Ovis aries: one gene and its partners. The main gene of each other region encodes a partner of the protein of the gene in region 2 in a complex. Links are inferred from orthologs where the notes say so. Each region holds a gene or a part of one and is shown on either strand. Other genes may lie near its edges.

Evidence for each region.
Region 1: the proteins of VEGFC (region 2) and FLT4 are in contact, whole or in part, in a crystal structure (PDB 4BSK), measured with the Homo sapiens proteins. The link is inferred for Ovis aries from reciprocal best matches to the Homo sapiens genes VEGFC and FLT4. Residues at the interface, in NP_005420.1 of Homo sapiens: Leu119, Asp123, Trp126, Gln130, Asn167, Arg210; in NP_891555.2 of Homo sapiens: Gln172, His199, Asp200, Ala201, Leu202, Tyr203.
Region 3: the proteins of VEGFC (region 2) and KDR are in contact, whole or in part, in a crystal structure (PDB 2X1W), measured with the Homo sapiens proteins. The link is inferred for Ovis aries from reciprocal best matches to the Homo sapiens genes VEGFC and KDR. Residues at the interface, in NP_005420.1 of Homo sapiens: Thr148, Asn149, Phe151, Lys153, Phe186, Ile188, Val190, Pro191, Leu192, Gln194, Pro196; in NP_002244.1 of Homo sapiens: Val135, Tyr137, Ile215, Val216, Val217, Val218, Asn253, Val254, Gly255, Ile256, Asp257, Phe258, Asn274, Arg275, Asp276, Phe288, Leu289, Ser310, Ser311, Gly312.

Annotation. Positions count from the first base shown.
Region 1 is NC_056058.1:345,239-349,392, forward strand, and holds the start of FLT4 (vascular endothelial growth factor receptor 3), read left to right. Parts: upstream 1-1,285; 5' UTR 1,286-1,308; coding exon 1,309-1,375; intron 1,376-4,154. UniProt on the Homo sapiens protein: Tyrosine-protein kinase that acts as a cell-surface receptor for VEGFC and VEGFD, and plays an essential role in adult lymphangiogenesis and in the development of the vascular network and the cardiovascular system during embryonic development.
Region 2 is NC_056079.1:7,221,764-7,225,411, reverse strand, and holds part of VEGFC (vascular endothelial growth factor C), read left to right. Parts: intron 1-407; coding exon 408-514; intron 515-800; coding exon 801-1,134; intron 1,135-3,648. UniProt on the Homo sapiens protein: Growth factor active in angiogenesis, and endothelial cell growth, stimulating their proliferation and migration and also has effects on the permeability of blood vessels.
Region 3 is NC_056059.1:71,308,569-71,312,216, reverse strand, and holds part of KDR (vascular endothelial growth factor receptor 2 precursor), read left to right. Parts: intron 1-886; coding exon 887-980; intron 981-3,096; coding exon 3,097-3,293; intron 3,294-3,648. UniProt on the Homo sapiens protein: Tyrosine-protein kinase that acts as a cell-surface receptor for VEGFA, VEGFC and VEGFD. Plays an essential role in the regulation of angiogenesis, vascular development, vascular permeability, and embryonic hematopoiesis.

The DNA of each region.
Region 1 (4,154 bases), on a different chromosome or scaffold from region 2:
GAAATACACATGAATCTCACAAAAGATGCTGAGCAAAAGATTATGCAATGAACAAGCAAAATATGTCTGGGAAATAAAATGATAAAGAAAAGCAGGGAAATGATAAGGCCAGGTTAAAAACAAGCAAAATATATCTGGGAAATAAAATGATAAAGAAAAGCAGCGAAATGATAAAGCCAGGATTTGGGGGTTAAGGAGGAGAAAGGGCAAGCTTCTGGAAAGCTTGTGCCATTTTATATTCTTTAATCTGTGGGACTGAAACAGAAGTGTTTGCTTTAAAATTCTCATTTATAGTACCTTGATTATATATCAACGTATTTAAACTAAATACAATATATTAAAACCAAATTTCAATATGTTAAAACTAACAACAAAAGTTGAAAGAAAAGCAACATGTGGTTGAGGAAAAGGATCTAACTTCGTTTATTTGGTTGCCTACCTTTCACATTATTTATTAAATATTCCATATATGATTACAACTTAAGTTCCATTCTTTCTTGCATTAGAGATTTAGTAACAATTGTTTCCAACAAGGGTTTTTGACAAGGATGAATGGACTTTTGCAGGTGGTAGGGGGAGGGATAGTAAAAGTGTGATTATGAAAGCAGAAGAGGGAGACAGTCATGCTCATGGGATTTGTTTTTAAATAGGAAAAATCTAGAGACAGACCTGAAAAGAGAAAGGAAGTCTATGAAAGGGTTGCCAAGTCGGAGAGCAAACTGTCACCTGATGAAAGGACTTCTGAATGAGCTCAGAGCAAAACTATTTGGAGGAAATCTAAAGAGGACATGCCTGCAGGATGGAGGTTAGTTATACTGGGTGCCTGGCCCAAGGGTCCAGTCTCCATCTACACCACGTAGGCGGTAAGATAAAGTTTACTGAACGGTCTCAAAGATTTGATATATTGCTATTTTAAATTATATTGCTTTCTTCTTTTTCCTACTTTAAACATAGTATTTATTAACTGAAGGAAATTACAGAAAAATACGTGCTGCCACGTTTTGTCCAATCTTGGCGGCTGGGTTCGTGCCCTTTTTAACTCACAATGGCCAACCTGAAGGGTTGCGGTTGACTCGGCAGTGGGGCGCGGACCAGCCCTCCCTCGCGCCAGCACCCTCACGTCGCTGCGGCAGTCTCCTGCGAGAGGGCGGTCCTAAGAGGTGCGAGGGCCGCTCTCCGAGGCCAAGGCCGCCGCGGGAGCCCCGCCCCGGCCGCAGCCCCGCCCCGGCCCCGCCTGCGCGGTGCCTCGCGCCCACACTCAAGCGCGAGCCGCGGTCGCACGTTTGATCCGCGCCACCGCGGCCGGAGATGCAGCGGGGTGCCGCGTTGTGCCTGCGCCTGTGGCTCTGCCTCGGACTGCTCGACAACGAGCGTGGTGAGCCCTCCGCCGGCCCCAGTGCGCAGCTGGCCACGAGCGGGGACGCTTTCCCTGGGCAAATGGTGGGACTGCACGGACGCGAGACCGGTCGGGGGACGGGGCCCGCGGGACCCTTGGGCACGAGGGGAGACAGGGTTGAGAGCCAGGAATTCAGATCCCGGAAGGAGCACAGAGAGTCGGGCCGGGCTTGCCGGGATGAGGAAAGGGAGAGGACGGGCCGCGGGGCAGCCCAGCAGCGTGGAGATGGGTTCTCGACTTCACTCCACGGTCTATGGTTCAGCTCCCTTGGACCCGGGCCCCTTCGCGCTGCATCCTCAGCCTGGATCCTTCGCTTGCTTACACGCTTTTCTGCGGAGTCGGGGCACCGCACTACTCTATCCTGCGATCCGCGCGCGCTGAGGTTGTCCCCCAGCGCAGAGGTTGCAGTCCCCGCCAGGTCGTAGTCTCGGAGGCGCACTTCCCCGCGACTCTAGTCTGCGCTCGAGATCAGCATTCCTGAGGGAACTCTGGTTGCTGTTCACTTTCCCCAGGCCAAGGACTGCTGGGATGGAGCAGTCCCAAGGGATGCAGGGAATCAGGCGTAGTCCGGGAAAACTGGGCGCAGTTGTTGGATTTTGAGGCTGATCTTGAGTCAGCAGCTCGTAAGTGATCAGCATGGCAGGAGAGGCAGAAGGCCGGCCCTCGCCATATTTGGGGGGTAGCACCCTGGATGGCCAAGCTAAGGATCATAAGGCAGGGGCTGCAAAGAAGGGTCTTCAACACAGGAGAGGCAGTGTGGAAACAGGTGATGGGAACATGACTAAAGGTTGCCTCTGAGCGATCGGAGGGAAGAGAGTTTGGGGATTGAGGGAGGGGTGGCTGTTTGCAGATGTCAGGGGGAAAGCATCAGGAATGAGAGGCAGATGAGCTGGAAGCCCATGAGAGATCCAGTGACCCTGGGGGTCAGAGGGCGGAGGACCGATCATGGGTCCCCAGTGTCTGAGGGAGTAGTTCTGAAAGATCTGAAGGGAGAAATGGATACCTCTATTTTTAAACACTGTTGGCTTTGAATACTGGCTTTACATGTTTCATTTCTTTTAATCCTCACAAGGAAATGTTAGACCCTTTTTACAAACGGGAACACTTGAACCAAGGACAGGGGTAACTTCCCCCAAAGTCCTCAGGAAGCCAGTAGTAAAGGACATGTTCAACCCAGGTCTTTGGGATACAAGAACCCCATTCTCTGTGTCTATATGGGCTGAAGGGCTGGGGAGAGTGGAGTGAAGGGAAGTGTGGGTGAACCTAGGGGGAGGAGGATGGAAGAAGACAACTTCCGGCCTCCAAGTCAGGGCAGGTCTGAGCAGAGGGGCTGCCTCTTGGCCCTTCTTTGCTCCCCTGCACCCTTCCCAGGCCCAGGCTTTCACAGGTGCCGTGGTTGGACTTCAGGGCTGAGTGGGATATCCCACCTTGAGAAGACATCCAGCAGGCAGTGGGTACAGTGTCCAAGGCTCAGGAGAGAGGCTGAAGAGGAAGCTGTCCCAGGATGGGACCATCTTCCCCAAAGAGGGGACCAGAGAGCGAGAGGCTTCCAGGGAGATAGAAAACATCCAATGTGCAGAGTGTAAGGAAAACCAGGAGAGACTCACGTCCTGGTGCTCCTGAGTAGAGCGAGTGCAAGGTAGCAGACAGAGGGGGGATAAGTCAGTCTCGCAGTGAGTACAGGTGATTCTTACCAAAGCTGGGCAGTGAGGGAGAAGAGAAAGAATGAAGCCAAGGGGCCCGTGGAGGGGGACAGCCTTGGCTGGACCAGGGCACGGCTGGTAGGGAGATAACCCGTTGAGAGCAGACCATTGCCACAGTCCCTGAGCCTTATACTTGTGCCACCCACTTTGGGGCTGAAGAGGACCTGAGAAGCCCCTAGACTGATGGGAGTGCTGGAGCAGAAGCTCAGACATTCCAGTGCAGCCCCAGTGTGAGGCCACGTGCTGGCAGGTGAGCAGCCTGGCCCGAAGGCGACCCTCAGAGATGTGGTGCTTGTCCCAGAGCTGGCTCCTTCCTGGCTCTACCCCTAAATTACTTGCTGTGTTGCCTGGACCCCTCCCTTCCTCTCCTTATGCCTCAGTTTGCCCACACATAGCACTGCAACAAGCTGGCACGCTCTGAGGGGCTGTGCTTGGGGCTGGACTCCTTACCCCAATCGTGTCCCTCTAGAGAAGGCAGATGGCAGAGGCCACCTCCTACAGGCTTTATCTCTTGGGGCTTAGACTCTATAGAGGCTGTCTGTGCCTCTGAACGGTGGGCAGTCAGCTCAGGGACATGTGGGGAAGGAGGCAATTGCCAGGAAGCTTGGTTGGCCAGCCATGAGGCTACTGGTTCCTACCACGGCTGAGACACTCATGACCATCCCAGCTCTTTCCCGTCCCTGCTCCTCAGCCCTGAGCCAGGGCCAGGTGTGGACAGAGGTGTGGGAGAGGGGCAGGCATGTGAGTCAGTGCAGGTACAGCACTGGCCTTAGCTCAGTGCTCTGAGGACTCACATACAGGCGTGCTCACAGACCCAGCATGCTGGAGGCACTGGGTCAGTGTGGCCGAAGGACTCTTTGCCTCCCCACAGCACAGTGTCCACATGACCAGGCACCAGGCTGGGCATGAGGTGTGACAAGGGGACTGTCTGGCCATCTCCTTGCTGTGCCACCCCCACCCTGACCCCCAGGCAGTGGCAGGCAGCCTAACCAGTGAAGGGGACTATAGTCCTGTGCAAGGTGAAAGCTATAATGTCTGCTCAGGGTGGCAAAGGG
Region 2 (3,648 bases):
CCAACAGATTAATAAGTAATAGTATACCCACTTATGGACTAATAAAGATAATGGAGCAAATTTTATGAAATGACATATAAAGATTTCCACAATAGATCATTTAATGGAAAAAGGAAATTTCAGAATAATATGAAAGGCTTTATCCCATTTTCTCATCAACTAAAACTGTGTGATCATACAAATAAATATATTTGCCTTAAAAAGAGGAATCTGAAATTATATAAAACCATTAGGATTGGACAGCACCTGTGGGTGGGAGTAGTTTGAGAGGGAATGTTTGCATTTTGTTTTATGTATTCTTACATTATCTTAACACTTTCATAAGCATCACTGATTCTGTAATACACAGGTAAGAAAAGAGATGATCCCGTCCATGTACCCCTTATTGTTAACCTGTCTCTCCACAGGTGCCAGGCTGCAAACAAGACTTGCCCCGCAGATTACGTTTGGAATAACCACGTCTGCAGATGCCTGGCTCAGCAGGATTTTATTTTTTCCCCCAGTGCTGGAGATGGTAAGCCAAATGATGCTTTAAGACTAAATGCCAAGGGTCTCTCTGTTGATTAACAAATACCTAATATTAAAATCACATGTACAATATTCATCCTCAAGCTTTGAAATCAGTCACTACAAAATAGGACACTTTCTGCTTCACTTTCTGCTTCTGGTACTGTTTTGAACGTCTCTGTAAAGGAACCTACCTGTGGAAAGGAAGACACTTCTAAGTGCTCTTCATTGTTTCACTCCACACCCAGAACCGAGTAAGGGATAGTAAAGCTGTCCTGACTGTGTTTGTCTAGACTCTGCAGACGGATTCCATGACATCTGTGGGCCCAACAAGGAGCTGGATGAAGAGACCTGTCAATGCGTCTGCAGAGGGGGGCTTCGAGCTTCCAGCTGTGGACCCCACAAGGAACTAGACAGAGACTCATGCCAGTGTGTCTGTAAAAACAAACTTTTCCCTAATTCATGTGGGGCCAACAGAGAATTTGATGAGAACACATGCCAGTGCATATGTAAAAGAACCTGCCCAAGAAATCAGCCCTTAAACCCTGGAAAATGTGCCTGTGAATGTACAGAAAATCCACAGAAATGCTTCTTAAAAGGAAAGAAGTTTCAGCATCAAACATGCAGGTAAGAAACCTTCATAAAGAGTATTAATTTCTCTTTTATTGGAAATAGTTTTCTCAATCCAAAGCAATTTTCTCAGCCAAAATACTGGTTTGTTACAATGGGGCCATTTAAGTTCTGTAAGATGAATTATGATATTTTGTAAACAATGCTAAATTTTGGGGAGACTGTTTGCTCCTGAAAAAGCAAGATGAGATCCCTGGAAACCAAAAGGAGATCCAAGCTCAGACTATACTAAGTCCTTGTCCCAGAGGCTAAGAGAGCAGCTCACAACAGGAGTTAGATGACAGATGCATAGGGCAGTCATTTCTCGAGCATCTTCAACATACACCCAGGCAGCGCACACCTGCCCCCACCAAAAATGACAATGCAGTCAGATGTAATTTTGGACAGCTTTTCTAAGTGCAGAAAATGTTGTGCGAAGTTCACAAAGGGTAGGATAATACCATTTACTGTGGAATTGTATCTAGAAATGAAAATAGTGAAGCTAAGTATTTAATGAGAATTAGAGAACTATATTAGCACATTGTTAAAGGTTACTCAAGGCATTCCTTAAACCTGATTTGGCTTCCTTCATCACAGAAAAGAAAAAGAGTCTCCTGGACTCAGACCCTTTCAGTGTTCACCCCTGACCTTCTTCCTCTGATCCGAGAATAAGCCAGCCCTAGGTGTTTGACACGGCCTCCCACTTTGCTTCAGCATCGCTCCACCAATCACGCCCCTTCTGTTCCACACCTTCAATGTCCTCAACTCTGTTGTTCTCTCCCTCCAATTTAAAAAAGTTCTCGAGTTTCTTTATTGGCATTTCTTACTGCAGTGTTGAACTTTCATTAGCAACAAGCTCTGTCCTTGTCTTCTGAGTTGCTCCATGATGGGTCATTCTGCATTTATCTGTTCACCTCTTTCATCTCTTGTTTATTCCCTCAGCTATGCCCTGAGGGACTGTTATGCCCTGAGGACTCCATGATTAAGCTTCGTTTAAGGTTTCAGTAGCCCTTTCACTGTCAGATTTCAAAACAATCCGGTCTTACTGCAGTTTCTCTTTGGGCTCTCTGTTTGGGCCGAGAGAACACTGTGCTTTCCTGATCGTCCTTTTAGTCTTCTCTCTACCTGTTCTCCGTCACCATCACTGGGTTCTCTTCTTCCACCAACTCTTTACAGACGGTGATAACCCCCACATGACTTAAAGCTTACCTTCCATTATTTACAATATAGTATCTATGTGAATGTTAATCGTTACTTTTGTCTTCAGTAAACAGTGTCCTTCTTTTGATTCTCAAGAGCTTGTGTTACTGTTTCAGTTCATCTTTCTGATGACCCAGCCACACTAACATGTTAGCTACTGCATGAGGAGACTTCCATGAACCTAGGTATCTCTTCTTCTATTACCATTTCAGAAAACCGTATACGAATCCTTATGTTTCCTCTTTAGAGTATTTTTTTAGCAATGATATTCCAATTTTACTTGCATATCCTATTCTAATTACCAAAAGGATATACCAAAACTATAGAAAATATAGATACTAAATCTTTTTAAAGATCATTAAACCATTTTGCACATTGAATCCAAGTGAACCCAGTTTACAGTGAGAAGCCTTAAATTTTTGTTTACATAAAACTAATCAGTTATTATATTTTTCTACACAGTTCTTACATTAACTTAGAGAAAACGTCTCTATCATTGTATTTCTCCTCACAGAATACATTGTTTCTTAATGGCTTTCTATTTACTGAATTTCTTTCCATGTTCATTTTTCTAAGCATATAATTCCAGATTTTATGCATATACTGAAACAAAAAAAAAGATAGCTTGATATTTTGAAAAAATACATACTCCTTACTTTCTCATCATATTTATTCTAAAAGTATTTTGGGCAGAGTATCTATTCTGTGATTCATTACCTTAGTCAGCAAGTTTCATTGATTACTGAAAATCATATCTTTTTAGTAAAGAATTACCAGTATCCCTATATTAATGCATTTGTATTTAGAAATGAAATAAATAAAATTTTAACTAGATATGCTTTCAGGAGCAAAGGAAATGATATTTTAAAACCCTAGTTGTAGTTTTTCTGTGGTACATTCTGATTTCCAGATGGCCTTGCATTTTTCTCGATGGTCATATTATATATACTCATCCCTCAGAAAGTCCTTCAAAGATGTTCTGTTCACTGGAGCAACAGGGCTGTGGATGTTATTGACTGCTGAGTCATATGTCCTTTCATCACCGCTAGAAACCGGACATTGAAGGTGGGGGGAGAGGAACCTCCCCCACAGTGAATACTGTCCCTCCCTGTGCCTTCTCCCAGCCCACACTGTTTTTGTGTGGAGTCCAGGTGGACGAGTGAGGCTGGCCACCCTTTCGTAGCAGCCAGCTGCCAGCCCAAGTTAAGAGTAAGGGTGGGGCCTCCTGTGGACCACAGCCCTGCCAGAATGGCTGGGTTTAATCTCCTTGACGTCTGGGTTCCAACCAAGTCCCAGATTCTTGAGAATTCTGCCACGCTTATGTGATCACGC
Region 3 (3,648 bases), on a different chromosome or scaffold from region 2:
TATCAATTAAGACCCTAGCATGGTGGACAGTTTTTCTTTCTCTGATGCTTTTTTTTAACACCTGGTAGCTCTTTGCATTTAGTTGGCATTGGACTCAGTTTTCTTGCTGTGGAGTGACCCATGGCACGGAAACTGAGTGGTATATTTAGGTAGACACTTTTCCTGTGTTCCAAGCTTGGTGTCAACACAAGCTCAACACTTTGATCAATAAGTTGAGATTCCCCACTTGCAGTTCATTAGCATCATCCTTTTTAAAGTCCTGTTCTCTGAGGAAAAGTACATGCATATTATATGACATTGGAAAATGTTTCTTTTCTCAATTCCTCTCACCTAGTTTTAATGTACGATCGTTCAACCTTGGCAGTTCAGTTACCAGAGTAAGTGCATTAGAAAATTGATAAAGAAAAATAAGACAAGGTCATGGACATTTCCCACCAAAGTACATCAATAAACTATGTAGAAGTCGCTCTATGTAGTACTCAGTAATCAGCAGTTTGGTCAAATGTGTGCGTCCTATGTTTTATAAAAAATGTCAGTGGGTCCTTTCCCAAAGGAGTGAGGTCATCAGATGAAGGTTCATTTGGTTTCAATGTCCCATATCCTTTTCTAAGACCTTGAAGTTGGCAGTGCAGGAAAACAGGAACTCCACCCTCACTCCATGAATTGCAGAACTGTTGTGTTGGTTTATGACCATCTGCCCATTCTTCCTGTTATGACACAGCTTGTGAACTTTTACTGGGAATGGTGAAAAGTAAATTCACAAGTTTTACACAATGAACTGCTGAAGAGGCCTTTTAAAGTATAGAGTGTGCATTGTTTATGGAAGGTGTTTCCTATTGGCCCTGACTCAGTGGCAATTACATTCATTTATTTAATTTGTTTCTAGGTTTTTCTAGTGTTTCCCTTGATCCACCCAGGCTCAGCATCCAAAAAGACATAGTTACAATTATGGCTAACACAACGCTTCAGATTACTTGCAGGTAAGGATTCCTTTTAGATTCAGATTTCCTGTGTCAAATATCTCATTGTTTATTAAAGAAGCAATAATTTTCATACAGCAGAATTGTAATAGAGTCATTGTAATTGTTTATAAGTAGTGAGGTTTCTAAGAACTAAGGTAATAATGAAAACATGAGAAAGGTCTTCTCCCCGAAATTCTGTGCAATTTTACTGATATTTTTCCCCCTATAATCCTTTACCAACACACACACACCCTACTAACCATTATTGATAGCACCTGGCATGTGGTATGTTATATATACTCTATCAATGTTGAATAAATAAATGAAATCAAGGATGTACCCTTAGAGTTAAAGAAGTTTTGGGACATATTTGTTATTCTCAGCATGGCTCTTGGACATCTGTTTAACATTTTTCAAGAACTTCATTTTATGATAAAATTCAGACTATAGTAGCAATTTAATATTCAGTCATTAATATTACTGAGTGAATCTCATGCTCTGGCTTGAGGTTCTGACATGTCTGTCACTCCCCAGCTAGCAAGAAGTCATGCTCTTGATTCTTGCTCACTGGGGAAATAGGTCTTCTTGACAAGAAAAAGAGGCTTTTAAATTTTGCCTTCCAGCCCCTACCGCAGGAAGAAAAGTAAGAGAACTTAGGGTTTAATGTAGTGATTATGCTTGTCAGACCCAGAGGCTTCTTGGGACCAGTGTGGCTTTGGCAGAAATGATGGGTGGAGGCGACCTTGCCCTCTGAGAAGAGTGCTGAGGGTCCACAAAGAACCTTGGGGCGCTTGTTGCCATTGTTTCGGCGTGATGAATGCAAGGTGTTCAGCACGGTGACACCAGTCTATTTTAGCTTGCAGAGTGTAAAGGATACTCTAGTCCCCTATCAAGGGTAGGTCACCAATAACCAGCCCTTAGGGAAAAAACAGGAAGAGGAGCTGTTGGCCTAGCTTTGCTATTTCAAGATACATTTCTCCGTAGATTTCCCTCTTAACCACCCTTGACAAGAAAGGTTATTTAAACCCCCTGAGATTCTGTACTCCCTTTATGTCGTGAAAAAAATGATGGAGTATGTTAAAAGTAACTTCATTAATGTTGCTGCAATTTGATGTCAAGTTTGCTAAAGAAGGGTCAGTGATGATACATTTGTCTTCACGTTGACCGTCTTCTTTGGGGTTTTGCAGAGAAATTCTGCAGTGAAAGTAGTCTGTTTTAATGCTATCCTTTCAACGTCCTGTGAGGCCCTTGCTGCTGCTGCTAAGTCGCTTCAGTCGTGTCCGACTCTGTGCGACCCCATAGATGGCAGACCATCAGGCTCCCCCTCCGTGGGATTCTCCAGGCAAGAACACTGGAGTGGGTTGCCATTTCCTTCTCCAATGCATGAAAGTGAAAAGTCAAAGGGAAGTCGCTCAGTTGTGTCCTACTCTTAGCGACCCCATGGACTGCAGCCCACCAGGCTCCTCCATCCATGGGATTTTCCAGGCAAGAGTACTGTATGTGCCAGTGACAGCTGCATTCCCTTCCACCCTAACCTCACCTCTTACTCTCCCGACTGCCCACTCTTCTGTAGCTACTCTGGATTACCTGCCATTCTCCTAACACTATAGATAGGAATCCACCCCAGGGCCTTGACATTGCTGTTCCCTTTGCCTGAAGCTCTGTCCCCCTCAATATACATACGGCCCCTTTCACCAAGTTACCTCCCTCTAGAACTAACCCTTCACTTGTTTGTTTGCATCTTCTAAATTTTCTTCATAGTACTTATCACCACCTTTTATATAATATTATTCACTTTTTGAACATTTTGGCTTCATTGAAGTTTATTTACTTTTTTTTTTTTTTTTGCCTGTGTCTTCTAGTTAGACTGAGGTTCCATGAAGGCATTGATTGAGGTTTGGTTTGTTCACTGCTGTATTCTCAGTCTTTACCAATGTTTGGCACATAGCTCATGTTTAATAAATATTTGTTGAATGAATGAATGAGTTAATTTCTGAAATTAAGACTCTGCCTTTTTGTCATATTGTCCATAATATGAGGAGTTTGTATAAGTTCGAGAACTAAACCTTCTATTTTCTTAGAAACAGTCTCATAGGCATTTCACTTAAATACTTGCTTGGAATGAATTTTTCAGGGGTCAGAGGGACTTGCGCTGGCTCTGGCCCAACAATCAGAGCAGCTCTGAGAAAAGAGTGGAGGTCACAGATTGCAGTGATGGCTTCTTCTGTAAGATGCTCACAATTTCAGAAGTGATTGGAAATGATACTGGAGCCTACAAGTGCTTCTACCAGGACATTGACATGGCCTCCACTGTTTATGTGTATGTTCAAGGTGAGTGGTTAAATGCCGTTCACTTCTCAAGTTGATTTACCAGTTACAAAGCACAATAGGTGCACAGAAGAATTGAGGACAACAAAGGCTCGCTCTGAAGGCTGTCGGCCAACAGGAATCCACAGAATTCCTCTCTCCGAAGGCCTCCTCTGAGGACAAGATTCAGTGATTTGTTCTGCAGCTTGGGCCCTGTTACACCTCTTTTACCCAATTAGTTCGGTTCTGATCTTTGTTTCTAAGCGAAGTCTGTGTTTGCAACTGACAATGGAGATTTATAAGAAGCCTTCTGATGTTTGAGGGGAAAAACCCTGAAATCCTTGAAAAGGAAGATTCAGGGATGAATTATGGAGCAGTT